Linked DNA regions of Pelodiscus sinensis. The protein of the gene in region 1 purifies or fractionates together with the protein of each later gene. This does not show direct contact. Links are inferred from orthologs where the notes say so. Each region holds a gene or a part of one and is shown on either strand. Other genes may lie near its edges. The genes, in order: SLC6A15, GPAT3 and GOLGA5.

Region 1 (10,366 bases):
AAAGGGGACAGTGATGGCACTCACATGTCGTTGTCTCCCCAGCCTCAGATGACACCGGTAACAGGCTCACTGGGACAGTTAGGGGCTTCCTGGGTGCATGAAATGCTCCCTCCAGGCTCCTACAGCTCCTGGCTGTCTTCCTCCTCCTCGGTCTCATGGCCAGGGCCCTCTGCCTCAGGGTCGATGACCACCTGGGGGGCACGGACCGGCCGGCCTCCCAGGATGCGGTCCAGGGCATCAAAATAGGGGTAGGAGTCTGGGTCTGCCCCCTGTGGCACTGGCATAGATGGCCGCGTTCCTCCGTCTAGAGCGGAGATCATGGATGTTGGAGGATTTCCCCCAAACCTCAATAAGATCCATGATCTCTGCACTGGACCAAGAAGGCATGCACCTTTTCCGGCCCCTGGGGAGCTTGCAGACTGCTCCTGGGGAGTGGTGGAGGACTGGCTGGCACTGGCTGCCTCACTCATGTTGAGGCAAGTGGGTCAGGGGCAGTGACTGCTGGCTTTGGGCTGGCAGGCCCGGAGCTGGCAGAGGCACTGTGGCCAAACAGACTCTACCTTTTTAATGGCTCCTGGGAGGGTGGGGAGAAGAGAAGTTTTCCTGGTTGTGGCTAGAGTGGCCACCAGGACACCCTGGGAAGTGCTGGAGGCCCTCTATTTCAAAATAAGTGTCTACACAGCTCTTATTTCGAAATAGCAATTTCAAAATTTGTGTTCTTCCTCATGGAATGAGGTTTGCCAATTTTGAAATAAGCCCTCCGCTATTTTGAATTAATTTTGAAATAGCGGTTGGCTTGTGTAGATGCTAGTGAAGTTATTTCGAAATAACTTTGCTGTGTAGACATACCCTAATAGAAAAGTGCCATCTTTGCTTAACACATTTTTTGAGTGCCCCCCCCCCCATAAAATATTATTGCCCATCCCTGGGGAGAGCTGGTAGCACTTTCTAAATGTCATTTCCTTCTGTTACTTATAACTTTGTTGAACATCAACCATTCAACTTGAAGTTTTCCAAGTCAGATATATGCCTTTAGCTGAATATTTCTGGAGAAGTTAAGACAAAGTGATTCAGAGTCTTCCCAGAACTATGGTAGAGAAAATTATCTTATTTTTCCCATGCCAATAACTTCAAGAAACCTTTCTTTGAAATTCTCTAGAACTCCTTGTTTTGGAGCATGGATTTTAATTTTTGCAGTTGGGTCTATGTTAGAATGATATTGGAGTCTGTGCATTATCTCCCTTGTCTAAATCCAGATTGCTGTTTCCGTATGATGGTATCCATCTGTCCTTTCATTCTAGTCATGATGACTGTTGCTAACACTTTTCCTATGACAGACAAAAGTATTACTCCCCTTCATCTTGAGCGATTGTTTAGATCACCTTTCTTTAGTAATTTGATTATGATACCAAGAGTCCATTCTTTCACAATTTCTCCTCTGTCCATATGTTGTTGCACAACAAACAGATGACTTATTCCACATCTTCGTCTCCATATTTAAGCATCTCAGTATGAATGATGTCCAGACCAGGTGCCTTGTTATTTTTAACTTCTGCAATGTTTACCTTAAATACATCTATATTCTAAGTCTGATGGTTTATCATTATTAAATTCCAGTCTTATAATTTGTTATGGTTTGTTTAGCATTTCTTTGAGGTGTTCAACTCCTCTATTTTCTTGCTCCTCCTTTGTTTTCAGAATTTTTCCTTGTTTTCCTTTCTTTGGGACACTTCTGAATTTCGAGTCATACCCTGTTAACTGTTACAAGATTGTGTAGACTGTTCTTGGAACTGCTCCATCAATAGGATGGTTCAGGATGGTCACCCTAAGCTCTGTGCTTTGAAGGGCCATGTCATCCTATGGGTCAGACAGTCCACCATATTTGTGTTAGTCATGGGACTCAGAGCAGCCTGGAGATTACCTGGGAGGGCCTGATGTGGAGCAGCAGCAGGGGTCAGGCCCCCCTGCAGTTACCACAGTGGTGGGAGCCACAGGAAGCAGAGTGACACAGGGGTTCCAGCCAGGTAAGTCACTCCGCTTCACCTTAGCAACATGAGCTCAGAGGAGCAAAGCTGAGAGAGCCAAAGTGCTCCACAGCAGAGCAATCTAGATGGGAGATGGGCAATGGAGCAGAGCAGGCTGAAAGGTTGTTTCACTTCCCATGACTCCTGCTGCCATAATGACTGGGTTACTATCCAAGCGCATAGCTTATAGGAAACACTGAATAGAACCCAAGGTCTTTGGGCTCAACATTCCTCCATTGTCAGTGAAATCTACTGATGAAATATGTGTTCATTCCCCATTAGTGCTAGCTCATATAAAGGAAGACAACACACTATTTCTATTATAGCTCAGTTAGCTCAAGTGGCAAAGGCATATGGGGTGGATCTAAAGTTTCCAATCCTGCTGATGTGGTTGTCAACATGATGTCACACAATGGAATTTCAATTTTTTCATTATGCTTTTTATAAAAATATAGAAATTACACACAAATTCTCCTGATCATCTTAATTTGCCCCCCCTTGTGTTTATGCCTTGCAATACCATTTTAAATAACATACTCACATACGATTTTTTTCCACAGGACTCCTGCTTTATTCTGTGTATAGAATGGTCTTGATGCAAGGATGAATCAGGATTATGTAATAAATGAGGTTGTTGCTTGTAGGGCCTTGCCTCATTTGTTGTAGAATTTGAAGGGTATATGGTGAATGAGGCAGGCATAAAGGGAAGCAAAAGGGTAGTTTCATGACTAATATTATCCCTGCCTCTGCCACAGAAGTTCTGTGTGATGTTAAGTAAGTCATTTAATTCAAGCTTTTCAGAGGTGGTAATTCTCTGTGCTCATTTGCTGCATGCCAGACTTAATATCCTGAGGTTTGACTTGCTGCATTTGCAGAAATGCTGAGTATTCACAAATTCAACTGCAGTCATTTGAATGCTTTGCTTCAAAGTGCCATATAATGTGAAGCACTCTGAAAACTCAAGTCTTAGGTGTCTCAAATAGGGCACTCAAAATTAGCAGATGTATCTCTCTGTGCCTCAGTTCCCCATCTGTAAAATGGAGATACTACCCCCTCACCTTCAAGGAATGCTGTGAAGATAAATTAACTGTGGAGCACTCAGCTACTATTCTGAAAAATACCATTAAAAAGGTCATGCAGAGGAAATTAATAATTGATCTTCATAACAGTGTTTGAATAGTTTGCAGTAGATAAGGCCCAGGAGAACATGCTGAATAGTAATGAAAAAAAATATTGACTAGCACCTCACACAAGGTACGTCTACATTGCATGCTTATTTTGAAATAAGCTATTTTGGAAGAAACACTCTGAAATAGCTTATTTAGAAATAGCACGTCTACACTACAGAGAAGCCTCAAAATTAGTCAGAGGCAGGCTTCCCTAATGTGGACATACTCACTTGATTTAGAGACCCAGCAGGCACTGGGGAGTAATTACTGTGAATGACCCTGGGGAGGAGCTATTTCAAAATAGCAGCAGTAGAGCATCCACACTACTGCTATTCTGAAATAGTTATTTTGGAATCATAGAATACTAGAACTGGAAGGGACCTTGAGAGGTCATCAAGTCCAGTCCCCTGCCCTCATAGCAGGACCAAACACCGTCTCTAGACCATCCCTGATAGATATCTATTCAGCATGCTTTTAAATATCTCCAGAGATGGAGATTCCACAACTTCCCTGGGCATTTTATTTCAGTGTTTAAGCACCCTGATAGTAAGTTTTTCCTAATGTTCAACCTAAACCTCCCTTGCTTCAGTTTAAAACTGTTGCCTCAGAAACCTCAGAGGCCAAGGAGAACAATTTGTCTCCCTCCTCCTTGTGACACCCTTTTAGATACTTTAAAAGTGCTATCATGTCCCCTCTCAGTTTTCTCCTTTCCAAATTAAACAAGTCCAATTCTTCCAGTCTTCCCTTGTAGCTCATGTTCTCTAGACCTTTAATCATTCTTGTTGTTCTTCTCCAATTTCTCCATATCTTTCTTGAATTGTGGTGCCTAGAACTGGACACAACTGAGGCCTAATCAGTGGAGAGTAGAGTGGAAGAATGACTTCTCGTGTCTTGCTCACAACACTCCTGTTAATGCATCCCAGAATCATGTTTGCCTTTTTGGCAACAGTGTCACATTGTTGACTCATATTTAGCTTGTGGTCCACTATGACCCCTAGATTCCATTCTGCAATACTCCTTCCTAGACAGTCACTTCCCATTCTGTATGTGTAAAATGGATAGTTTATCCCTAAGTGTAGTACTTTGCATTTGGCCTTATTGAACTTCATCCTATTTACCTCAGACCATTTCTCCAATTTGTCCAGATAATTTTGAATTATGACCCTATCCTCCAAAGCAACTCTTCCCAGCTGCAGCCCTCCCAGCTTGGTATCATCTACAAACATAATAAACGAACTCTCTATGCCAATATCTAAATAGTTGAGAAAGACATTGAACAGAACCCATCCCCCAAAAGACCCCTGCGGAACCCCACCTGTTATGCCCTTCCAGGATGAATGTGAACCATTAATAACTACTTTCTGAAAAAGTTATCTGGCCAGTTATGCACCCACCTTATAGTAGTCCTATTTAAGTTTTATTTGCCTAGTTTATTGATAGTAAGATCATGTGAGACCGTCTCAAATGCCTTACTAAAGTCTAGGTATACCTCATCCACTGCTTCTCCTTCATCCACAAGACTCGTTATCCTATCAAAGAAAGCTATCAGATTAGTTTGACATGATTTGCTTTTTACAAATCCATGCTGGCTGTTACCTATCGCCTTATTTTCTTCCAGATATTTGCAGATGAATTTGTTAATTACTTGATCCTTTATATTTCCTGGCATAGAAGTTAAACTGACTGGTCTGTAATTTCCTGAGTTGTCCTTATTTTCCTTTTAATAGGTGGGCACTATATTTGCCCTTTTCCAGTCTTCTGAAATCTCTCCTGTTTTCCATGAATTTTCAAAGATGATAGCAAAAGGCTCAGATACCTCCTCCATCTCCTTCTTGAGTATTCTAGGATGCATTTCATCAGACTCTGGTGACTTGCAGACATTTAACTTTTCTAAGTAATTTTTAATGTGTTCTATTTTATTTTATCTTCTAAACCTACCCCATTTCCACTAACATTCATTATGTTAGGCATTCCTTCATCATCAGTTTTCTTGGTGAAGACCAAAACAAAGAAGTCATTAAGCACCTCTGCCATTTCCAAGTTTCCTCTCCCTTTTCACTGAGTAACAGGCCTACTCTGTCCTTGATCTTCCTCTTGCTTCTAATATATTTATAGAATGTCTTCTTGTTACCCTTTATGTCTCTAGCTAGTTTGTGTTTGCTATTCTTCATGGAATAGGTGTTATTCCTCATGGAATAGACACTATTCCTCATAGAATGAGGTTTACCGAACTTGGAATAAGCCATCCATTATTTCAAATTTAATTCAAAATAACAGAATTGCTGTGTAGACACTCGCATTGTTATTTTGGAATAACGGCTGTGATTCTGAAATAACGCTGCTGTCTAGATGCACCCTCAGTGAGCATCATCTATCCTGTGTACTGAATGAAGAAAAAGGTCCTGTAAGAAAAACAGTATGTGATCATATAATTAAAACTGTATTATTATGCATATTCACAAGAGAACTAAATTGATGTTTCACAGTGAAATGTCTCCCTGCCAATATATTGCAGTCCTTTAGAAGTCACCTACCATATTGCTGCAGAACTCATGCATTTTAACATCTGATCTTGAATTTTCGAATGTAATGCTCTTCATGATCAGAGCACACCTCAGGCCTCCATCTTGCTATTTTCCCAAATCACCTCTTCACCTCAACTCTTCCATTTTCCTACTGCTTCTTCCTCACTCCATCATCCACTGCTCCAGTCCTAGCACAACTACTCATCCTCGCTCTCCAGCCCCATCAATTCTACAGCATACAGCTGGACTTCTTCCCTGCTACACAACTCATCTCCTCCACATCCTCTTATATGTACCGTTCGCTGCTTACACTCTTGTATTCTTCCATCTCTGGGCATCCACCCTTCTTTTATGAGTATGTCAACCACAAAACACAGGTACCTGCACACATCCCTTCCCCCTGTTGCCTTACTGATCCCAATTTTCCATTCCCCCTGGCTGCAGCGGAGGTGGTGGGTCTGAGCTAAGGGCACAGTAAGAGCAATAACAGTTTCACTTTCCCATAACCCTAGGGCAGACATGTACCTTGCAGTTTTGCACTGAGGGTGCAGTAGTGGTAGCAAAGGGGAGGAGGATGAGAAGATGTCCATTGCCTTTGTGAGACAGGGCAAGGAGCACACTGCAGATGGCATGGCCAGTTCCAGGCAGGAGACAGGGTGGGGCCAGCTGGGGGCTGCTGATAATTCCTGAACACAAACAGCCTAAACAAACAGGTTGAAGGACCACCCGGCAGCTGAGCGGAATGGAGCACTAGGGGTCGCCGCCTTTCTCCACACCCCTCCCCACACCATCGCCCCCCATCCCTGGCTGAACAAGGAGAATGCAACTGCGGGCGGGTGTTGCATAGTTTCCTCTGCGTCAAGGGAGGTGCGGCTCCACTCCCTCCCCCCCTTCCTCTCCCCCCCCAGCCCTGCCTTCCCTCCTTCCACCGCTCCCCACCCCCTCGGATATTTTTTGTCCGCCTTTAAGCCGCCTCTGCATAGGACAGCTGGGCATATGTGCGCCAGCATCTCGGCTCCGTCACGCTCATTCATTCACTCCAAGCACCCAGCCTCTGCTGCAGGGCCTCGCTCCGGGGGCCGCCCCACAGGAAAGGTAGGTGAGGCGGCCGCACCGCCAGGCAGGGGGGGATGGCGGAGGTGGGTGGAGGGCTGGACGGGAAGCGGCAGGAGTCGCCATAAGATGCTGGAGGCTTTAGCCCTCCCGAGGCAGCGGTGCTTTAGTGTGCGCTCGTCAGCTGGACTTGGGGGGCTGAGCGGCGGAGGGAGGGGGGGGGGGGAGAAACACATGGTGGGGAGCCACGGTTTGTCTTGTAGATTAGTGCCAGTGGCGGGTTTGTGGACTGTAACGAGAGATCCCCCCCCCCACTCCCGCTGCTTGTCTATAGACAAGGGGGGGGGGGTGTCTTCCCTCCCGGCGTTTCCTCCGTTGCGGGCACCAGGAGCATTGCCACAGACTCATCAATCCCAAGGAGATACCCCTGGCTGGATTGAAAGTCGCCTGGTCGGTGGGAAAGTCGCCTGTCGTTGCCCTTGGGGAGACAGTAGTACGGCCAGATGGAAGGGGGCGCCGCGTGCTTTGTTTCAGTGGGGGGCGGCTTTTTGTTTCTCTTTTGGCGGGGAGTTCCTTTCCCTCGTGTGAACGAACCCAAAGCGTTTCCTTCGGGTCCTGCCGGCTTCAAAACGCCTGGGTCGCCTGCGCGTGTCTCCAGCTCAGGGAAGGACCATGGCATCTGGAGACATACGTTTCTGGATGTAGCTATTTCGGTGGCTCCAAGGCGTATTAGCAGGGAACTGCCTGATCTTAATCAGGGATGAAAGGATGAATAGCGCCGGTCGCGCTTGTAGCGGTTCCCAAATCGGAATCTCTCTAATTCCGGACTGCGACTGGAGGAGAGATTAGGGAAATAACCTCAGAAGGCAGGATCTGCTCAGAGGAGGCGATTGTCACATTAGTTTGGAGATCGGGGTCTGGGGCCAGGATCTGAGATGGTTTTAGCAGTGGAAAGGAAGAGGTCCGGATGCTGTCTCATTCTATGTAGCCATGCAGCTAGTGATCCGGCTGGTGCGTGCTCCCTCTTCCCCCGCCTTCCGTAACCCAGTCTGGCTGGAGTAACTCGGGGGAAGGCACCAGGCTTGGTCTTCTGTGATGACAGCCATGTTTGGGTGGCTATGTTAATGAGGATCTCTCCTCAATTTTTTTTGGTCTTAGATTCCTCCCCCGTCCCTCCCCCCCGCATTTTAAGGCTCATACATCCTTTCCAGCGCACATATACACAAATATATTCTAAGGGAGAGGAGAGATTCAGGCCCATCATTTTCATGCTGTGATTGGACTCTGCGGCTCTTGGATTCCTTTGATAATCCTCCTTATTGCCTACATGCTCCTGTAATGTTTTCCTTTTGGGGCTGCTAGTATGAGCATGAATTGCCAGCCATGCAGTGAGGTTTCGCATTTCTCTGTCTTGCTTGGATTTGATAGAGGACGCACATAGGGTTAATAGATATCATGCCATGATGCGCATAGGGATGCAAAGGAATGTAGATTTCAGTTGCTCCGAATTTAATTGTATGTGTTAAATGTTAAATCACCGTCTTCTATTACTGTGGGAATCAGCCATTTTAGATTATCTGGTATTTAGTATTGCTACATATCAGTTGCGGTGGGTGTAGGAGCTTTGGTATAGGAGAGAGCCTATTTTCAAAACACAAGTCTTCAAAACACTGTCTTTCAAACATAGTCTTTTAGGAGGCAATCATTACTTTTAATAGAGGATAAAAATGCTGTTTTCTTTTGTTTTCTTTTTCCCTCAAAAATGCAAAAATCAGCATGCTGAACAATAATGATTTTCTGAGAGTCAGGTGTTACATCAGACATTAAGCCTGTGCTAAGATATGTTCCCCAGACAACTTTCTCGCTTTGATAAAAATGACAAAAGCTCCTCATGGTCCTTGTGTTTCAACTTTCAAGACATCTATTTGTATTGGGTTTTTTTTATTAGAAAGGAAATTTAGTTAACTAAATGTTAGGATACCCAAATCAGGATTTCTCCATTTTGGATTTCTTAGCCATTATAGAAGTCTTGAATTTATAAATGGGAACAGTTAAGAAAACATCTTCTTGCATACAGACTGCTCCCTAGAAGGTCAATACTACACTCTAACTACAAGAGGAGGGCAACTTCCTGTTGATTTTGATCTTAGAATTCAGAATTGGGTTCTTTCATAGAGGTTCACATGTGCCAGCAGCAGTGAAAGTAAGAAGTTGCTGATGCAATTCAAGTTGCTTTTGCAGAATACAGCTGATGCATTGATTCATAGATTCCAGGGCCAGAAGGGAACACTGTGACCATCCAGTCTGACCACCTGTATAGCATAGGTCATAGGTCACCCCAAAATATTTGCATATCTTTTAGAAAAACAGCCAGAATTGATTTAATAAATTGTAGGTGATGGAGAATCCAACACAACACGTGGTAAGTTTTTCAAATGGTTAATTACTCTCACTGTTAGAAAACATATGCTTTATTTATTGTCTGAATTTGGGTTCTCTCTATTTGAAAAGTGTTTGTATCTTTTAATATTAAAATACAATATTTTCCTTCATGTTCTTTCCCATCAAATACCTCATTGTCATCTTCTTTGGATAACTATCTCATGATGTAAATATCAAAAGCAGTTTTTCAGACAAGTGATTTGACAACCACATGTTTCCGTGAAGGGGCTTTCATGTTGTGAAATTATTTTTGCTGAGTTACAGAGACTTTTGTCCTCACTTGCTGTTTACCATTTCAATCCTCTTTATGCAAAATAATACCTTGTCACCACTTAAGTATTAAGTTCTATAAAATCTAATATGAAATTACAGTTGATTGAATTAAGATATCTGACTAAACCACTTTAGTTAATGCGGGCTTTTAGCATTTTTGGTCCTTGGGAAGAGTTGGTAACAATCCCTAGATTAACATTGCATACCATGTTGTCCAACCAGTTCTGATTACTGCTATAGCGAACTAGTCACGCTTACCTAGCCAAATAGCCACATTGTTACATTGTTCAAACCAAACAGTCACACTCAACCAGCCAAATAGCCACATGTGGCTATTGGCTGGTGTGTTGGACACCACGGGCCTAATAGTTTCTATTATAAAATATTCTTGTGACTTTTTTTTAGAGAAATGCTAACGTATCTACTGTTTGCTGCAGGCCTCAGTTATTGCTTTATACTGGGATTTAAACATCCAGATGTCTAGAATGAGGCAGTAGTACACATGCTGAAAGGCAGGGACATAGGTGCTTAAAGAAGTTTTGCTGCAAAAATGTAGGTGATGAATGAAATTAGACAGTAGCTGAACAAGGTGTTTGTATTTAGTAGTGGTGCATTTAGGTGCTTAAAGTAGAAACTAGGAAGCTAATTCTCCATGTGAATCTGGCCCCTTTGTAATATTTAAAATACCTTTATTTACTTTCCTACCGCAACTAAGGCTCAAGGAATAAGGGTTTTTGCTAAGCTTTTTATCATAATGCAAAGGCAAACTCATGATTAGGGCAAAAAAAGGAAAATCCATGTACATTTGCTTTTGTGCCTTGTGTTGACCAGGTGGATGTTTTCGTCACTACATGTCCATTGCCTTCCTCCCAATTACAAT
Region 2 (9,800 bases), on another chromosome or scaffold:
TAATGAATGTTCATATTGTTTAGAGGTTAGAAATGGCAGAGCAGTAGAATGTAAAATTCCATTTACAGCTCAAAGATACAAAGTGAAGCTGAAAACAGATGACTCTCTCTATAAAGCATATCTATTTTTACAATGAATTATAGTCAATAGAATGGCAGAGGAAAAGTGTGGCCCACAGGTAATCAAAAGATGAATGAATGGAGAATTTCACTGAGTGGTTTAATGGCTACTTGCCATTTTTGAATGACAGCAGATAAAAAAAATACTGTGATAAATATGATAGACCAGACCTTATTTATTTGCAATAAAAAGATATTTACATGCAATTAAACTGATTAATATTCTGAGCCTGTGTGGCCTAACTGACAGGGGACAAATGACATGGTACTTTTTATTAGATCTGACCTACTGGAACCTGATAACATAAAAAACTTACCATAAAATACAAACATGGGGCTGTTGCATGAAATCTTTTTTGTGAGTCAGTTGAAGAAGATTTCCTTTAATTCTGGAAACAAAGATTGCATTTTCTTTCCCCCAGTTCATCATCTCTAGAACTATTTTGATACTTTAAAAAACAAGAGTCTAAATAATCTGAAGAAGTGGGTTGTGCCCATGAAAGCTCATAATATCATCTACATATTTTGTTAGTCTTCAAGGTGCTAGTAGACTATTTGTTTTTTTTTAAATATATAGATTTATCAGAATCAAAACATGAGAGGTAGAGTTTTATAGGAGTTGTACATCCTGGCTACGTCTAGACTACATCCCTTTTTCGTAAAAGGGATGTAAATTAGACGTATCACAATTGCTAATGAAGCGGGGATTTAAATCTCCCCCGCTTCATTAGCATAAAAATGGCTGCTGCTTTTTTTACGCACGGAGCTTTGTCAGAAAAAAGCACCAGTCTAGATGCGGATCTTGCGGAAAATAAAGCCTTTTCCGAAAGATCCCTTATCCCTCTATGAAATAAGATGTTTAAGTTGTTTAAACAAATGTGTTGCAATGGTGGAAAAAAAATGTTGCGTCTGAAAGCTGTAGGTAATTTTTTTTAAAGGGGTACTTTATAAAAAAAAGGTTGAGAAACACTGTGCTAAGCTTGTCCACATTTGAGATTGAGTCAGCAAACATTAATAAACGTAAGCCTTACAAAATCCATGTAAGATGGGTAAGGGTTGTTATCCCCAGTTTACGTGTGGAGAAATTGAGGCATAGAGACTTTCTTGGGATTTACTCAAGATCATACAACAGATCAAAGACAGAGCTAAAACAGAAGGCAGGAGTCCTCTCCACCAATTATTTTGCTTAAACTACTGTACTACAGCAGATGCAGTTCTGGGGGCAGCAGAAGGGGACAATGTCTTGCTATCCAAGGGCAAAGGCTAAGAGCATATGAGACAGTTTGGCAGCTGGGAAGGAACATGTGCACTAGGGATCTCTTGCTTATGCTTAGTAAACCTTCCCCTCTGCAAGTCTCAGCAGTGTAGAGATCCATTTCCTTCTTCAGAGGGGTTTTTATTGCCCTTTTCTTTTGTTGTCTGAGCAGCAAACTCAGTTAGCAAGGGGAATCGATTTGCATCATTCATCTTCACCGAGGAGGGTAAAACAACCAGTGTCTTTTGTCCTATTTAATGTCTGCAATAGTTTGGAGTCAATAGTCAGGACATGACACCTTCTGTGGGAGATTAGCACTTCACAGCCGTTAATGTTTCTCTTCAGTCTGGTGATTTATACAGTCCCAGAGGTTCACAATGCAACCACTTAGATATGACCTTATGTTATGGGATACAGATTAATGCATCTAGCTACTCACAAGCATTCCATAAAATCTAAACATTAAATATTATTCCAACCCTAATATCTGTTGTAACAATACTGACACATAAGTATGCCAGACTGATTCCCTACATATCTGTTAATGTTCAGTTTAGACATGAGGTCCTTGGCATGAGGTGGTACCTAGTCTCTTAGGTTATGTCTACACTACAGAGTTTTTGCGGAAAAACAGCCATTTTTCTGCAAAAACTCACAGAGCATCTACACTGCAAGCATGTTCTTTTGACAGTAAATTGACAGTACATCGAAAGAACAGAGAAGTTTTTGTGCAATTGGTATTCCTCTTTCTACGAGGAAGAAGCCTTTTTGCTTTTTCGATGCGCTTTTGCAGTGTGGATGTGCTCTTGCGCAATAAATTTTTGTGGAAGATATCTTCTGACAAAAGGTTCTTGTGCAAAAAGCTTGCAGTCTAGACATAGCCTTAGTGTCACAGGTTTTATGGAGAATTCCAGCTTCATTTAATTTAGGGGCCAGATCTCCATCTTGCAAAAATTAGTATAGTCCCATTAACTACAATAGAGCAATGCAGATTTACTCAAGATAAGGTTCTAGTCACAGGGTTTCAGACAGAAAGTCCTTGTTTGCAAAATAGTTTTGCTAATTCAAGCTAGGCTAGGCTTAGCCTAAATGACAATTAGTTCAGAACAGTGTGACATAAATATGCCTTATTCCCACACAGACTACAGATAAAATGTAAGGTTGGAACAAGTTTGAAAATGATTTATCACCGCAAGTGCAGGTTTATAACCGCTAGCGTTTTTTTTTTTTTAGAGAAAGGCCATAGTGCAAGGAGAGCAGTTTCTTTACAAGTCAGCAATTTTTTGTAGTTAACAACCAGTTATTCTTTGATCAGAATGCAAGCTATTCACTGAGAGTGAACTTTAACATCATTTATTACAGGGCTTTGCCAGCACCTCTGTAATTATCAGGACACTCTCAAATGACTGGGCATATTTTTCTGTACTGTACCTAGAGAAAAAGAAGAATCCAAGAACAAATCAAAAGCAGAATTGATTTTTTTCTGCTTCAGTATTGATGCTCTGCTCATTTAAAAGAAATATCCAAGGTGTGTGTGTGGTGAGGGGCAGGGAGACCCCTCCAAATTATAAAATAGCAGCTTGAGTTTGCATTTTCACCACCTTACTTAGGGCAGGTCTACAGCACAAGATAAGGGAGAAGATCTTACCATCCGATTTTGTGAAGTCAGAGGTCTGTGTCCTCACTGTGGGGAAGAATCAAATGTTGTCTGAAACATTACTGTCGATGCAGAGAGCTGAGGACCATGGGCAGCTTTGCATTCTGGGCCATATGCACAGTGCCCACTGGGTACAAAACTCGGTAGCAGGTAGCTAGGGGTTCATGTTGGCAACGTCCCAGAATGCATTCCTTTACACCCTCCCCTCTTGTGAGAGATAGCGGGGAGGCAGTGTGCTTGCACCTTTTAGTGCCCTGGTTGCCTGTGCAGATGCTATAGCAACGCGACCATGAAGCCTGTTGTGCAGGAAAGCATTGACATGCTCATGTGTCAAGTTCCTGGTGTGTGTTTAGAGACCATTGTGAAGTCCTCGGTGTCCATGGATAGAGCCTTGCAAATCTGTGGAGATGTGCTTAATATCTGCAAGTATCCGCATCAGCAGATGTGGATATACATGGCTCATTTTTGTGGATACGGATCAGGAAGTAAATTTTGTACCTAGAACCCTGCAAATGTGCAGATATCCACTTTATATCCACAGGTATCCATCCGCATGTAGATATGTATGAGTGTATGAGATATCTGAGGATCATTTTTGCAGATGCAGATGTGGATACAAATGTTGCATTCACACAGAGCTCTATCCCTGATTAGTCAATTATTGATATGTCCTTTAAATTTTTACTTTTAAAAATGATACAGCACAAATTATTAGCACAATTTTATATATATAAATACATACATTGCTAACTACAGTTTGTGTACATATCTCATAACAATAATCAGGTTCAGAATAGTACTAGCTTTCATAAGGAATTTAACTTCACAGTAATATTATATAAATACAACCAGTTGATTGAATTGTGTATTTTTTTGGGTTTCTCTTTAGGAGTTTCTGGATCCTGATTGTCAGAGAAATATAGTAATAGAAAAAAAAATTCCCAGACGCCGGCAGCTTCTCTTTTCTTTGCTGCAGTCTAGTTAGCCATCTATTCAAGTAGATTAGGCTCTTTTCATGTCTGTATAAACCATTGCCTTGAGAAATTGTATTTTTCCAATTGCAAAATCCAGATTTGGTAAAAAATCACAGCAACTCCCATTCCACCAGGATTACCAGGGTGTGGATACAAATCAACAAGGAAAACAAATGGTCTTATCATGCCCCTCCTTAATTACAGGGTCTGAGTCAGAACATCTGTCACCGACTCAGACATAAATTCACTATGTGTCATTGAGCATGTCACTTAATATTTTTTCTGGTCTCAGTTTCTCCAGTTTACTGCAAACTGGAAAAATGTTACTTTCCTCCATAATGGAGTGGTTTGATGTGTACAGATAAAAAGCTATCCCTATAAACTCATTGTGTTGATGATTCATTCATTCATTTAGTATGATTAATAATTACTTGTATTATTATCCCAAGAACTGTAATTATCCTTAAGCTATTCCTTCTCTGTTCTCTCTCCGATTGATTTTCTCTTTCCTACAAGGCAGAATGCTTTTTTTTTTTTAAACAAAAACCAAACGAAAGTCCAAGCAAGCAAGCAAGCAAGCAAGCAAACAAAAAAACCCAGACTAGGCTGGGGTTGGAGTAATACAAAGTTTATGGTAAAACTGTCTCTCTGCTAAGTGAATTACGGTACACAAAGGCTGATAACTTTTCCTGTCTGTTGATTGCAGCAGAAGATATACATGAGCCAGCCCTCGCCTGGTATATTTTTCCTTAATACTCTTTGTGTAGAAAATCCTGAGACAGGTAAGAATTATGTAGTTATTGTATTATAATTCAGGGTAATGACCATTCAAATTATTTACAGCTGATTTCTTAAAAGGTTGATTTCTTAGGAGTTAAATGCATAGCTAAAGTGTTTTGCTTAGTGCTGTATGTTTTCATTTATCTTTTAAAAAATGGTAAAATAGCCTAAGGCCATTTTTTAAAAATTAAAGTTGCTGTTCGAGCTAAAGGCTGAATTGTTGGCAGTTATTTTTTTCCAAGAAGGAGAAGCCCCTTCTAGACATTTAGCAAGGAATGTATCACTCATGTTCTCTTTATAAACCCGGTCTTGTGTTTGTGCTCGCTTCCTTTCCAGAAGTCTTAGCATGCTGTGGCTGTTGAAACTTTTCTGGCCCGCATACCTGTTTAGAGAAGGGATCTCAGAGGCGCTAATTTAGCTGCAAGGCAACCATATGCTGTCTGAATGATCCTATGAGATGAGGGGAATTATCTTGAAAAACGCGTATCTCGAGGCCTTATGTGGACCTGGGGGAGACGGAGGAAAAACCAGCGAAGAGAGGGGAATCTCATTAAAGTTACTAGGTTGGAAGTAGGTTGAGGACTTTGAAAGTGCTGGGGATTTCTTCGAAACGGGCTTGATAGATTTAACGCGATTTTTTGAAGTGTCCTCTTACTCTCCCCCTTTTCTGCTACTGAAGGTAAAAAACACCTCCCCCTGGAAAAAGGACAGGAAACTTTCTGGGGACAATCCACCAGGGTCTCTTCGCTGTGTCCCCAGCCCAGAGGTGCATACGTGTGTGCCCGAGCATTGTTGTGCTGCAGGATGCGATTGAAACTGCTGTTACCTCACCCACCTTAGCTCTGCACTCAAGCCTAGTCAGTTACACCTGGGAGAGGGCGTGAGCCACAGGCAATTTGGGTTCCCTCTTCAGTGCCCCCCGGTAGCCGCTCCAAGCGTATGGGACCCGAGGGGGGCACAGACCCCGACCCCACCTCCTCTCATCTGGGTAGACCCGCTGGATTTCCCCCACGTGCTGCAGTCGTGACCCGCTTTTGTTCCTTCCCTGCAGCTGTTGGCTGGCTCCGGAGCAGAATTAGTGAACGAGGTGGAGCAGGAGGGTGGCGGAGGCAAGGGCCGCTCTCGGGCTCTGACCATGTTTTTCCTCTTGCCCCTCAGCTGCCAGAGGGGATCCAGGAAGCCGCGGGAGAGACTCGCATCTGGAGCGGAGCTTCCAGCCACCATGGAGGGCCTTCTCCTGATTGCAGCCCAAGTCATGTCCGTCTGGTTCACTCTGGCGTTTACACTGATAGTGCTGCCTTCCGTGTTCGGACTGTCGCTGGGCATTTCTGAGTTCTACATGAGAATTTTAGTGAAGACCCTGGAGGTAAGTTGGTGGCCCTTAAAAGTGTTTACTTAATAAAAGGGGGCGAGAGGCTGGGGCGCTGCGTATTTCAGCGTCCTTAATATGTTTCCAGTAAAATCTTCTGGTTTGTGGCAGTAAATCTGCTGTGACTTTGGCATAAACACTTATTCCGTGTGAATCGGTTTCTCTAACCGTGTGAATCCGTGTGAATCGGTTTCTCTAACTCAGGAGGGTGTGTTCTCCCTCTGCAAAACGTGTCCCTCTGCCAAAGGCTGGCTAGTCAAGACTAGAACACTAGTTCCTGGGAATGCTTTGTGTTTTACAATCGTAAATCCGAGCTAATGTTGCGCCTGGGGTCTCATGAAATGTCTCCCTTGCCACTGCTCCAATAAAGGACCTGACAGGCCCGCTATGCATACAGGAGATATCCAGGTGAAGTACAGGGCATCCCCACTATAAGTCACCCCAGTATACATCCGTTCCACACTACAAGTCATTGCTTATAGGAATGGATGCATTTTAGGTCCTCCTATTTCCCCGCTCTTGAGTCATGCAACCCCCCCACCCCAAACCCAATCAGTACAAATAGAAGTCAGCTGTGGGGAAAAAATTCACCCCCTTTAAGTTGTTTTACTATCAGTCCAAGTTTTTTGGAATATACCTTGGACTTATAGCAAGAACGGCCTGCATAGTCAGTGAAGGAGGTCAGCTCCTGCTTAAAAAGAAACTATTGTGAAACTCCACAAATTCAGAGTCACTTCATGCCAGTTTGAACCAACAAAATCAGTTTCCTTGCTAAAATGTTCTGCTGTGTGTTCATCCACACTTGCAATAGCATAATAGTCAACGGTGACTGTAAAAGCTCCAACAGCCAGTGACTATTTTAAAATCGCATGTACTCACCCCTGGGAACCCTTGTCAGGCATCAACATTCTAGGCCAGGGCTACTCAACGCACTGCTCATGGGCTGCATGCGGCCCGCGGCCTGTTTGTTTGCAGCCTGCAGTGCAGTTTGGATTTACGGTGTGGTTTGGGTTGATAACTTTTAGTAGTTAAATTCAGAGTTGTTGACTCGAGTCTCATGACTTAAACTTGAGTCTGACTTAAGTCGCCTAGGTGACTCCACTTGAGCCTCAACTCGGGTTCATTGTTTGTGACTTGAGACTCGACTTGAGACTTGCTAATTTTGTTAAATCAACTTGGTGAAAAAATTGTCCTAAAATGCCGATATTGATGACTTGTACAAAAGCGACTTGACATTTTTTAAATTAAGACTTGAGACTCGACTTGGACTTGACAATGGCAACTTGAAGACAACACTGGTTAAATGCCTGGACCGTTGTGAAGCCAAAACAAAAAAGTAGTCCATATAATGGTCTTCTGTTGATATACATTTTAATAGTTAAATTCCTGGAACTACTCATTAATTAATTCCTGGAATTCCATTGCTCATTAAAAGTGCTGTCATATGGGTGGAAATTGGGTAAATATTGCATTTTATTAATATCAGAAGAACTGATTTAAATGTGGCCTGCATGTTGTGTAGTCTTGCCTTAATATTTGTATTCATGCCTGTCAGTGTGAAAGAAGCTATTTGCATGTATATGCAATCACACTTAATTTGTGGCCCATAGCATGTGTTGTGAGTATCGTTGTGGCCCCCTGTAGCTTTCAAAGTTGAGTAGCCCTGTTGTAGGCTGATATCCAGTCCCTGGATGGGGAAGGGTAAGAACATCATGTACCTTGCTTGCAGTATTCTGCCTTCCTCTTCTTTTTAACCTCTGACAACAGTCTTCTGTGCCAAGCTACTTATGAGTTATAATTAGGTGATCAGCTCTGAATCTCAGTCTTGCTGTCTATTGAATTCTTATATTTCCTAAATTTCTATGCTATCCAACAGGGGAAGGTTAACTTACTTTTAAATTAGTTTGATGAAAGAATGGGTGCATGTGTTTGCCACCTCCCAAGTAGGTTGTCCAACCAGTCCTGCACTATGATAGATACCCAAGCAGCTACTGAGAGAAAAATCTAGTTCTGATGTTCTATGGGGCACTTTCTTAAGGCTAAACTTTAAAAAATGCTCTTCTTGCCTCACTTTTCCCAGATGAAGCAAGAATCTCTGTTGGGATAGGAGCTTACTTTATATTGCCTTGACGTGTCCCTGGCACTTCAGTAGGATGTCCTGGATCAGACTCCTTGTGATGTAAATCACCACCCTGCCTCCTGTTGTGCTGTATTTCAGTCACTTGGCACCTAAATCCTCACAGTATTGGCACGGATGGTCACACACACAGCTTCTTGAAGTGATGAATTTGCACAGCAGTTCAGCTTCCTGTCTTCTAAATGGGGTATTTGTGAGGGCTGAACTCCTTCTTTTCCCCTGCCATTTTCCTCCTCTATGGAAATCGACCTCTCCAGGAGAGTGCTGGCTAGGGGTGGGCTGAAGGTGGAATGTGTGTGAAGTTCTAGAAGAGCAAAGGGGAAGGAGGAGCTAATGTTGTACCAGCCTCTTGAAAATGTAACTAGGGTGACCTGGGTAATCAGAAGCTGTGAAGCTCAACACTAGTCCAAGGCAAAATTGTGGAAGGACATCTTGGGAATCAATCCAGTAACTCATGCTGCCTCGCTTCATGCCACTCAACAAGGGTTTTATAGAAAATGGATCTAGTTACACTCGGCGCTGTTCTGTGAGGTTACCAGTTTTGCTGAGATAATGTGTTCTGATGCCTTACGGAAGCTGGCGTGGGACCACACAACATTCTGAATTTTGTGCTATGCCAAAAAGTAGCACCTATTAAATGGGTTTTTTAATACTGGCAGCTAGATCTCAGAATAACTTTAAATACATGATGAGTTATTTCTAGTGGGGGTCCCACAACCCAGCACTAGTTATTGAGGTGACTCAGAGGTATCTGTCACTTGCCACTTCACCAGTTGTAGAGAAGAATGAGGCCATCTTGGTAAACTGGCCTGACTTGAGTACTGCACATCTCTTAAGCTGGAAGGTGATACTTTCTAGGAGCAAAGAATGTGTTTCCTGCTGCTAGGATGAGGGACGGTTGCTTGGAAAGCAGTGATGCAAAAGTCATTGTGTGCTAAGAGGAGGGCATGAGGGAGAGTCAGCTGAACATGGGCTGGTGATGTGGTGCCAGGACTGACTCTCAAAGGCTGTCCTCATGTGTGTAAACAGGAGACCACTGAATAAAACCAGGGAGGCGTTACTCTGTATATGGAACTAGTGAATTGATTACTGCAGTACTGTGTCCAGTTCTGGTGTCGTCCTAAAAAGGCTGTTGACAACTTAGATGGATTCAGAAAAAGAGCTGTAAAAATGATCTAGCATTTGGAAAGCCTGACCTGGCGTGAGAGACTAATCAGCTCAAGCTATTTATGTATCCATTAGAAGATTTGCCCGGCATTGCTTGGGTCCTTAACTCAATTTAAAAATAAAATAAAATGAAAATGTACATGCTTTCAACCATTGCTCTTAGGTAGGGTTGGGGACGAGGGGCTCAGTGTGCAGGCTGGCCTGAGGAGAGAAGGACTATCCCTGCCCTCTCAGCAGCTTGGGGCCAGGTGAGTCGTGTCTCTCCATGGCCACTGCAGCTCCAGCAGGCACAGCCGGGGGAGGGGTGCATGTCCCCTGGCTGGGGCAGGTCCCGGTTCTTCT
Region 3 (9,496 bases), on another chromosome or scaffold:
GCTGCGGCAGCTGGCTCACCAAGTGGAACGCGCAATCGGTGTTCCCACCTGCAGGGCTGTCAATGGACACGATGTCATCATGGGGCACCCCAGGCAGCAGCGCCCTAGGCAGCAGCTGAGTCTGCCTATAGCCACTGGCCACCCCCGTGTACCATTACAATACACTATGGCCTTCATTGTGTACCCAGTGGAAAGGGCCTCTCTTTCCCTGGCCAGCGTTTGGGCCGGTAGCCTTCCCCTCTTTGCCAGGAGTTTAGCTTATAGCTGGTTTCTGGGATAAAGGTTGCCAGATGGTTTAACCAAAAATACTGAACATGCCTCCCTGTCTCCCCCATCCCCCCCAAAAAAACACAGAGAAAAAATTCTGTTGAGAAAAAAAAAGGGGGAGACCAAAGTTCTTAAGGAAAAAAAAGACCCCAAGACTTGAAAAGAAAAGAAAAGAAAAGAAAAGAAAAGAAAAGAAAAGAAAAGAAAAGAAAAGAAAAGAAAAGAAAAGAAAAGAAAAGAAAAGAAAAGAAAATCCATCATGGGCCCTTTAAGAAATGCTTATGAGGTTCTTTGGCCCTAACAGGCTGCCAGCAGTCATACACTATCTTGTCTTCCTGCTTTGGGCCAGACAGCTCCCCTGCAGAACCAGGTAAGCACCCGGTATTTTCACCTCCTGGCTGGGAAAAAAATCAGAAAATGCTGGACCCCCACCCGCACCCCCAGGCCAATCAGGTGAAGTCTCCTCCCACCCTGAAAGGGTCTCAGCACTTAAAGTCAACCACCAGCTGCTGATCAGTGGGCAGTTGACTCTAAGTGCAGTGCTTTCTTGCAAGGCTGGGGCAGAGAACGAGAGACTTCACATGCTCCCCCTCCTCAGGCCCTGATTGACCTGGGGCAGCAGGGGTGCAAACATGAAGTCTCCTTCCACCACCAGGGGCACAGGTACCAGCTGTTCAGAACTGCTGGTGGTTCTCTCCGGGAGAGGGGGGGACAAGACTTCGTGCACTTCCCCACCCTCAGACCAATCAGGGTCTGTGGATGGGGAAGCAGGAAGTGTCCTGGCCCTGCCCCTTCTGCTTGAGGCCCCACTCTTTCCAGGGCAGCCCGGGGCCACTTCAAGAATTTCTGAAGTGGCCCCATCAAAAATTATTGCCTACCCCTGTGCTAGAACTTGCAAGCTTTGAAGCAAGGACCTGAAACATAGAAACAGTGGAATCTGGCTGAAAGTCCTTGTAATGTTCATTACAGGTGAATTACACCCAAGTAGAACTAATAGATGACTAAATTTGGGGAAGATAAGTTGTGTACTTTTCAGACTGGGGTTGGGCAAATATATTTTGGGAATGACTGAAGGACCAGGAGAGTATGTATTGACCATGGGAATAAAGGCTGGTTCCATGATTAGATAGTGTCTATGATTTAGTAACCCTATGTTCAGTTCCCTGCTTTGCCAGATATCCCATGTGACCCTGGGCAAAACACTTAGGCCAGTGGTTCCCAACGCGGTGCCCGCGGGCGCCATGGTGCTCACCAGGCCATTTCTGTGCGCCCACCGAATGATCGGGGCCAACCCTGCCCCTGGGCACGTGGTGCATGGGCGGTGCTGGCTCCTGGGTGTGCAGCGTATGGGTGGCCTTGCCCCTGGGCGCGCGGCACAAGGGCTGTGCTGGCCCCTGGGCTTGTGGCGTACGGGCGGTGCCAGCCCCTGGGCGCACGGTACATGGGCTGCACCGGCTCCAGGTGCATAGCACATGGGTGCTGCTAGCTCCTGGGCGTGCGGCACAGGAGCGGCGCTGGCCCCAGGAGTGCAGCACATGGGTGGCGCCAGCACCAGGCATGCAGCGTATGAGTGGCCCCAGCCCCTGGGCACGCAGTGCAGGAGTGGCGCCGGCCCCAGGCATCTTGTGTAAGAGCATCCATGGAGTGTGGAATAGCGATAGAGATGCAGCCGTGTTAGTAGCACTTTAAAGACTAACAAGATGGTTTATTAGGTGATGAGCTTTCATGGGCCAGACCCACTTCCTCAGATCAATATGTGGAAGAAAATCAGCACAACCATATATACCAAAGTGATACAATCAAAAAAATTAATGCATGTGAAATTGACAAATCGAATTTTAGAACAGAGTGGGGAAGAGAGGGGAAGGTAAGTTTCTGTGAGGTAATGACATTAGGGGTGATAATTGGGGAAGCTATATTTGTAATGGGTGAGATAATTAGAGTCTTTGTTTAAACCCATACATAAAGTGTCAAATTTAAGCACGAATGACAATTCTGAAGCTTCTTGTTGAAGTCTGGAGTTAAAGCCTCTTTGAAGCAATATGCATGTTTTAAGATCATTAAGGGAATGATCAGTCTGGCTGAAATAGCAGGCAACAGCTTTCTCTCTGCGAGAGAGTCTTATATCTGTTTTGTGTGCATTGATTCTTTGATGAAGTGTCTGAGACATTTGTCCAATGTACATAGCAGACGGACGCTTTAGGCACATGATGGCATAAATTATATTTCTGGATGAACAGGAATATGTGTTCTTGATCTTGTAACTGGCATGGTTAGGTCCAATAATGGTATCAGCAGAGTAAATATGTGGACAATGCTGCCACCAGGGTTTATTGCAAGGGAAAATTCCAGGGTTGGTAACAGTGTGATATGTCCTGTGGTTGTTGGTAAGAATCATCCTGATGTTAGGTGGTTGTCTATGGAGGTATGTCTACACTACCACCCTAGTTCGAACTAATATGTGGTTAATGTAGTCAATCGAAGTGCAAATGAAGCCCGGGATTTAAATATCCCGGGCTTCATTTGCATCTTGCCGGGTGCTGCTATTTTTAAATCCCCGGTAGTTCGGACGCCGTGCCCACGGCTACACGCGGCACGGAGTAGGTAGTTCGAATTAGGCTTTCTAATTCGAACTACCGTTACACCTCGTTCCACGCCTAATTCGAACTACCTACTCCGTGCCGCATGTAGCTGTGAGCACGGAGTCCGAACTACCGGGGATTTAAAAATGGTGGCGCCCGGCAAGAGGCAAATGAAGCCCGGGATATTTAAATCCCGGGCTTCAATTACAACTTCAATTGACTACATTAACCACCCTAGTTCGAACTAGGGTGGAAGTGTAGACATACCCTAGGAGACTATGAGTCTGTCTCCCAGAGCCTCTCGGAGTGTAGTATTCTGTTCCAATATAGGTTGTAGTTTATTGATAATGCATTGGACGGGTTTAAGTTGGGGGCTATAGGTGATGACAAGTGATGTTCTATTGTTGGTTTTCCTGGGTCTGTCTTGAAGTAGATGGTTTCTGGGTATTCCTTTGGCTCTTTCAATTTGTTTTTTTATTTCTCCAGGTGGGTAATTGAGGTTTATGAATGCTTGGTAGAGATCCTGAAGTTCCTGAAGATCCTGAAGAGACCACAAACTGCCATGGATGCTCTTATGTAAAAGCATATGGCAGTGTGGACACGCTCTTGCGCAAGAACTTTTGCGCAAAAAGTTATTGCGCAAGAAGCCTGCAGTGTAGAAATAGCCCAAGTCAGTGGTCCCCAACCTTTTGCGGCTGCCGGGCGCCTGGGGGTCGGGGCCACCCATACGCTGCATGCCCAGTGCCGGTGCCACCAATGTGAGGCACTCCTGGGGCCGGCGCCGCTCCTGTGCCGTACACCAGGAGCTGGCATCACCCACGCGCTGCATGTCTGGGGCCAGTACCACTCCTGCACTGCGCGCCCGGGGGTAGGGCCGCCCATGTGCTGGGCGCCCAGGGGCTGGCACCGCCCATACGCCGCGTGCCTAGGGGCGGGCCAGGCCCACCCATATGCCGCACTCCTGGGGCCAGCACTGCTCCTGTGCTGCGCGCCCGGGGCTGGCACAGCCCATGTACCGCGCGCTCGGGGGCAGGGCCGCCCATGTGCTGTGCGCCCAGGGGCTGGCATCACCCATACGCCGCGTCCCCAGGGGCGGGGCCACCCATATGCTGCACTCCCAGGGGCCGGCACCTCCCATGCACAGCCAGATTCCATTGTTTCTATGTTTCAGGTCCTTGCTTCAAAGCTTGCAAGCTTTAGCACAGGGGTAGGCAATAATTTTTGATGGGGCCACTTCAGAAATTTTAAAGGTGCAATGACCCTTTTTTTGGTGTGGGGGTTTTTTTTTTTTTGGCTCAACCAATTTTTTTCCTGCTATGTTCAGTATTTTTTGTGAAAGTATCTGGCAACCCTAATTGCCTCCCAACTGGGTACATCACCAAGGCCGGAGGTGTGTGTGTACTGATTTCTCCCTTCTATTTGTCCCTGATTCCTCCCCATAGGATCATTTGCAGGAGCAAGTGGTGACATGCATCCAGGTCAGTTTCCCCAAGTGAGCTGTGTAAGAGGGCAGGAGAGTTGCTCTCCATACCTCAGGGAACAGCACAGCTGGGAAAACTGTCTTGGAAGCATAGATAGCTTGGTGTTGCTGTTCCCCTCCCAACCTCTAGGGGGCACAGAGAAATGTTGCACAAGGTCAGGTGCTCTGTGCAACCAGGTCTGTTTCCCCAATGGGGCTGCCTAAAAGAAGGGCAGGACAGCAGCTCCCGACCCTCACAGCAGAGTTCCAGCTCGGGGCCATTTCAGTTTTACTAGCTTATAAGCAGGGGTGGCCAGTCCATATAGGCGAACTAGGCGGTTGCCTAGGGCGCCAAGTTAAATGGGACGCCAAATGGAGGTGCAATATCATTGAGAGGTTTGGAAGTGGGGGCGCCGATTGCATGGTTCGCCTAGGGCGCCAGTTATTGGCAGCTAGTCTAGGGCTGCCCCTGCTTATAAGAGACTTGCCCCAGAAACGCGGGCCTCAGGACATAGGGGCCACATTCTAACCTGCATGGGAAGCTGCTTCCTGAGCACCCGTGCAGCACACAGCACTGACTGTCCAGCCCCCAGTAGGGAGAGTGAACAGGGAAGGTTCACTGGGAGGGGAACATGCAGAGGCAGCTGGGCCAAAGGAGCAGGTTGTGCATGAGCAATGGGTGTGTGTGTGTGTGTGTGTGGGTGTGTGGGGGTGGGTGGGTGGGTGAGCGTGCCCACACACTGCATGTTTGTGTGTCTCTAAAGTGACAATGATTCAGTTGCCTGAGTTTGGCGCTGTTTAGTCAAGAATGTGTTTTTATGCTGATGTTGCGTTCCAAGTGGCAGTGGTAAACATGACAAAAAATAAGGATTAAGTAACAAACGCCATTCGACGTACACTGTAATTTAAGCACCACAACCACAGCTGGTCAATCCGGAAGTGACACCTATCCCTATTAATTGTTAACATTATTGAGAGCCCGGTTACGCCTACGGCTCCCCAATTGTTTAGAGGCTGCAGGAGAGCCTGGGGAGAAAGAGCGGGAAGCGCTGGGGACCCGGGCGGTAGCCCAGACAGGCTGTTGGCGCGGTGTGAAGCCTGGAAAAGGAAGCGCGCAGCAAGTGTCGCGGTAACCCCGCCAGGAGTGTTGCAGCACCAGGGCGGCACGATACTGCGCGGCCGGGGGCACCTAAGTTCTGTGAGTGCAGAGCGTCCGCTAGAGGCTGCTCTGCGTCATGCCTCGTGAATGTGTGTGTGGGGGGGGCGACTGGCGAGGGTATATGGGCGTTAGACCGGTTGCCCTGAACCGAGTGGGAGGGGCGTGTGAGAGAGTGGGGTCACGTTGAGCAGAGCTGCGGGAAAGGGTTTAGTGCGCATGCTCTGTCAGCGCTGTACACAGAGGCTGACAGTCTGCGGCAGTTCCAGCTCCGCCCTTCTCGCTGGAAACGCTACGGAGTCTCTCTCTGACTGTCTTTGCCCCTCCCTTCTAGAAAGGGCGGGATCTCATGGCAAGGGGCGTGGCCTCCTTCTGACCCTCCTTTCCCGGGGGGGGGGAATTAGCCTTGGGCCCTCCGAGCCTCCGTACCACAGGAGGCTGGTTCTGCCGCGCCTGCGCATCTGGCAGCTTGGTCCGGGGAGCGCCGGGTCCCTGTGTCCGCCGAACCACTGGCCACGTCTCCCGGAAGATGGAGTTGAGCTACCGAGTCCGGCCTGCGGCCTCTATGTAGCCGCTGCGGCCTCCGCCGCCGATTTATCCCCGCACCCGGCCGGCTGCTCCCTGCGGAGGCAGGGCGGGCGGCGGGCGCCGGGACAAGGTGAGGCCGGGGCTGTGTTGGGGCTTAGTTACGCGGGAGACGGGGCGCGGGCGGGCACTCGGCGGGGGGATGGGAAGGGCTTGGTGTGCGCGGGGGGGGGGTAGGGTGAAGGGCGACACCCCATTCTGAGCCTCTGCTCCTTCCCGCGTGTTGTGCTGCGGTGCCGACCCTACCCCCGCCCCCTCACTCGGGTCCACAGCGCTGCGCCATGGTCTCCTCCAGGGTCCAGGCAGGGCTGTGGGCTCGTATTGGGCACGAAACACCCCCGCCCCTCGCAGCACTGTCATGGCTGGCAGCCTACAGGGCGTCAGGACCAGCGATGGTGCTAAAGGTAGTTGGGTGCCTAGCCAGAGCTGAGGTTCTCGCCTTTCAAAGTCCGGTTCTTTGTGCCCATATGGGCCCTTCTCTCCAGCACGGTTAAAGGGGTTCACACCGTCCACAAGTTTAGGAGTTACACTTAGTTCGAACAACAACATTTGTGTTGGGCAGGAATTCCTGCCAGTGCTTCTGGAGAGGTCTGCATGCCACCTCTGCTATAGATTTGAGAGAGTCTGTTTGTGTGTAGGACCACCAAATTCGGTGTGCAGTTTTCTCTTATCGTAAGTTAAAGCAAGGTAAGTTGGTTTTGCCAGGAAAATGGGATGTGCCTGGAATGGGACTGCTTCTCATTAAGCCATACAGAAAAGAGAATCACCAGACAGGTAAAAGGGGCTGGAGGGGCTTTTCACCTGGCCCCAAGCTGCTGTGGTGAGAGAGGACTTGTGTAGTCCTCTCTCTCCAAGGCAGCCTGCATACTGAACCCCTCATTCTCAGCCCCACTCTAAAGCAATGATTTCAATGAAGCCCATACCTTTTTTCATTTTATTTTCCAGCCTCCCTCCCCCCCAGAAAAAGGTCCTGAGCAACACTGGATAAATCTTCTAGTGTCAAATAGACTTTTTTTATACTATATTCCTGTGGTTATCCACATTGCTTCATATTTCCCTCTCCAGCCAGTTTCTTATACTTTAATCTCCTACATTTCAGTTAGTCTATAAGGTGCCACAGGACTCCTCGCCACTTTTGCAGATTCAGACTAACACGGCTACCCCTCTGATCCTCTTGGAATGAGATCATTGGGGTTGCCACTGCTGCTAGCAGGTGTTGATGCCCTAAATGACTCTGCTGGTTTAGTAGCAAAAACTACTACTAGGAGGGGTCGTCCATAGGTAGTCCATAGCCCAAATCTGGATTGGCAGACTTTTTTTTTAACAGACCCCCAAAGTCTTTTTATTTACTTATTATTCATTATTATTTTTTAAAAGTACCTTGACCATGAAAATTTGAACCTTTACAAAAAAAATTGACTGTCCTGGGTCTGCATTTTCCTGTAAGAACATTTGATTTGGACACTCTAGTAATATAACATGGTAAAGAATGAAGCAAGGACAAAACTGTAGTTCATAACAAAAACCCAAATCAACATATATTTGATTTGTAACCATTTTGTGTCTCTTTGCAGCTCATGCTTTTGGGGTTCAACTCTGTAGCTTTTGTCACTAGACATCCGTTATGTCTTGGTTTGCTGATCTTGCTGGAAAGGCAGAGGACCTTCTCAACAGAGTCGATCAAGGAGCTGCAACAGCTTTGAGCAAAAAAGACAATACAGGGAAAGTAATATATGATAATACGGATTTGGAGTCTGCTAGTGAATATCCTGAACTGCACCAGCAAACCAGAGAATTAACATATCAAACATCATCTAAAGCAGACTATATTTCAACTGCAGCTGATAATATTATACACCAGAAAGCTACAATACTAGCTGGAACTGCAAATGTAAAAGCAGCAGCCAGGACGCCTTTAGAGGGCTCTCCTCCAGCCGAGAGTGTTTCCATACCCAGACCTTCTTCCCAGTTTGTGAGAAGGAAAAAGTCTGAACCTGATGATGAGCTTCTGTTTGATTTTCTCAATAGTTCTGAGAAAGGAACTAATGGAAGGATGGACCCTAAAAAGGAAAAGAACAAGGCAGTTCTTCAAAATCACTCTCAGAATTCAAGCATTAATTCTGTGCCTATAAGTACACAAAATATAAAAACTACTGAAGACCATTCTATCAGGAGTCCAAGCCATGGTAGCTATATGGAACTATAGATGTTTATTGAACTTAGGCATATTTAAAAATCACATTATGTGAAGAGTAACAAATTTACTGACAGTAAATGGAATAGATTGTAATAGGAGGGAAAGGTGTTTTAGAGTAATGATAACATGGTTGGGGGTCAAGAACCCCTTAGACCATCGTTTCCCAAACTATGGGCTGTGGCCGGGGGAAAAAATACTGGGCCTCAGCATGGCTGCTGGGAGGGGAGCGGGGTTGACTGGGAGGAGGTGTGTGTGTGGGGAAAACCAGCTGCCAGGAAGCAGGGTTGAGGGCAGCGGGACTGTCCAGCAGAGATTGGAGGAGCACACAGAGGAAGCAGGGGAGGCGGGAGCTGGCCGGAGGAGATCGGGAGGAGGAGGACAGGAGAACCAGCCTCTGAAAGCAGGGCTGGACAGGGGCAGTGCGGCCGGCCAGGGGAGATCGTGAGGAGAAGCAGGGGAGAATCAGACGGCTGGGAGGGAGTTGGGGGAGCGGCGCTGGTTGGGAGGGTTGTCGGGGGGAGCAGGGCTGGCCAGAGCAGATCGGTGGGGAGTCGGGGGGAACTGGCCGCTGGAAGCAGGGCTGAATGGGGGAGATTGGGAGGAGAAGCGTGGGGTGGGGAGTGAATCGGCCAGCAGGAAGCGAGACTGACCCAGGCACATGTAAACCCTGGCACACGAGTGAGTCCGGCTCTGGGGATTCCATTTTGGCTACCCCACCCCCTCCACCTCCCAATACCCTACCTCGAGTAGTTGCGAACTGCCTGGCTGGTAGATACACTCACGCAGCGTGAGCACATCTACCAGCCAGGCAGTTTGCAGCTACAGACTGATACACCTAATTATAATAAAACTTGCCTAATTAGAAAATACCGGACATTTTATGTCTGGTATTTTCTCAATTTGTTTCCCAGACAGAGCCCTCAAACTGGACAGTCCGGTACAAAACTGGACACCTGGCAACCCTACCCCTCCTTGCACCCTAGCCAGATACCCTACCCCCAATCTGCTCCTGCCTCCTGCAGTGCCCGTGCGGCACCAGGTCCCTGAAGCCCTGGCCCAGGCTGGGCAGAGGATGCAGCCGGGTGAATCACTGAACATTTATTCATTTTTAATTATTTTTTATATGCGTTTATATTTTTGGGCTGCAAAAACTGTACTGGAAAATAACCAGGTTCCAATTAAAGTAAAAAGTTTGGGAAACCCTGATCTAGCCAGCTTTCTATCCATCCTACTGTCCATTTATCCAATCC

The links.
Region 2: the proteins of SLC6A15 (region 1) and GPAT3 purify together in Homo sapiens (co-immunoprecipitation; 3 studies listed by BioGRID and IntAct, counting the BioPlex papers as one, with this or other methods). This does not show direct contact. The link is inferred for Pelodiscus sinensis from reciprocal best matches to the Homo sapiens genes SLC6A15 and GPAT3.
Region 3: the proteins of SLC6A15 (region 1) and GOLGA5 purify together in Homo sapiens (co-immunoprecipitation; 3 studies listed by BioGRID and IntAct, counting the BioPlex papers as one, with this or other methods). This does not show direct contact. The link is inferred for Pelodiscus sinensis from reciprocal best matches to the Homo sapiens genes SLC6A15 and GOLGA5.

Annotation. Positions count from the first base shown.
Region 1 is NC_134711.1:74,517,864-74,528,229, reverse strand, and holds the start of SLC6A15 (sodium-dependent neutral amino acid transporter B(0)AT2), read left to right. Parts: upstream 1-6,614; 5' UTR 6,615-6,813; intron 6,814-7,002; exon of another isoform or gene 7,003-9,193; intron 9,194-10,366.
Region 2 is NC_134715.1:11,955,147-11,964,946, forward strand, and holds the start of GPAT3 (glycerol-3-phosphate acyltransferase 3), read left to right. Parts: upstream 1-5,901; 5' UTR 5,902-5,920; coding exon 5,921-6,151; intron 6,152-9,800. UniProt on the Homo sapiens protein: Converts glycerol-3-phosphate to 1-acyl-sn-glycerol-3-phosphate (lysophosphatidic acid or LPA) by incorporating an acyl moiety at the sn-1 position of the glycerol backbone.
Region 3 is NC_134714.1:30,347,661-30,357,156, reverse strand, and holds the start of GOLGA5 (golgin subfamily A member 5), read left to right. Parts: upstream 1-5,590; 5' UTR 5,591-6,122; intron 6,123-6,611; 5' UTR 6,612-6,736; intron 6,737-7,623; 5' UTR 7,624-7,673; coding exon 7,674-8,235; intron 8,236-9,496. UniProt on the Homo sapiens protein: Involved in maintaining Golgi structure. Stimulates the formation of Golgi stacks and ribbons. Involved in intra-Golgi retrograde transport.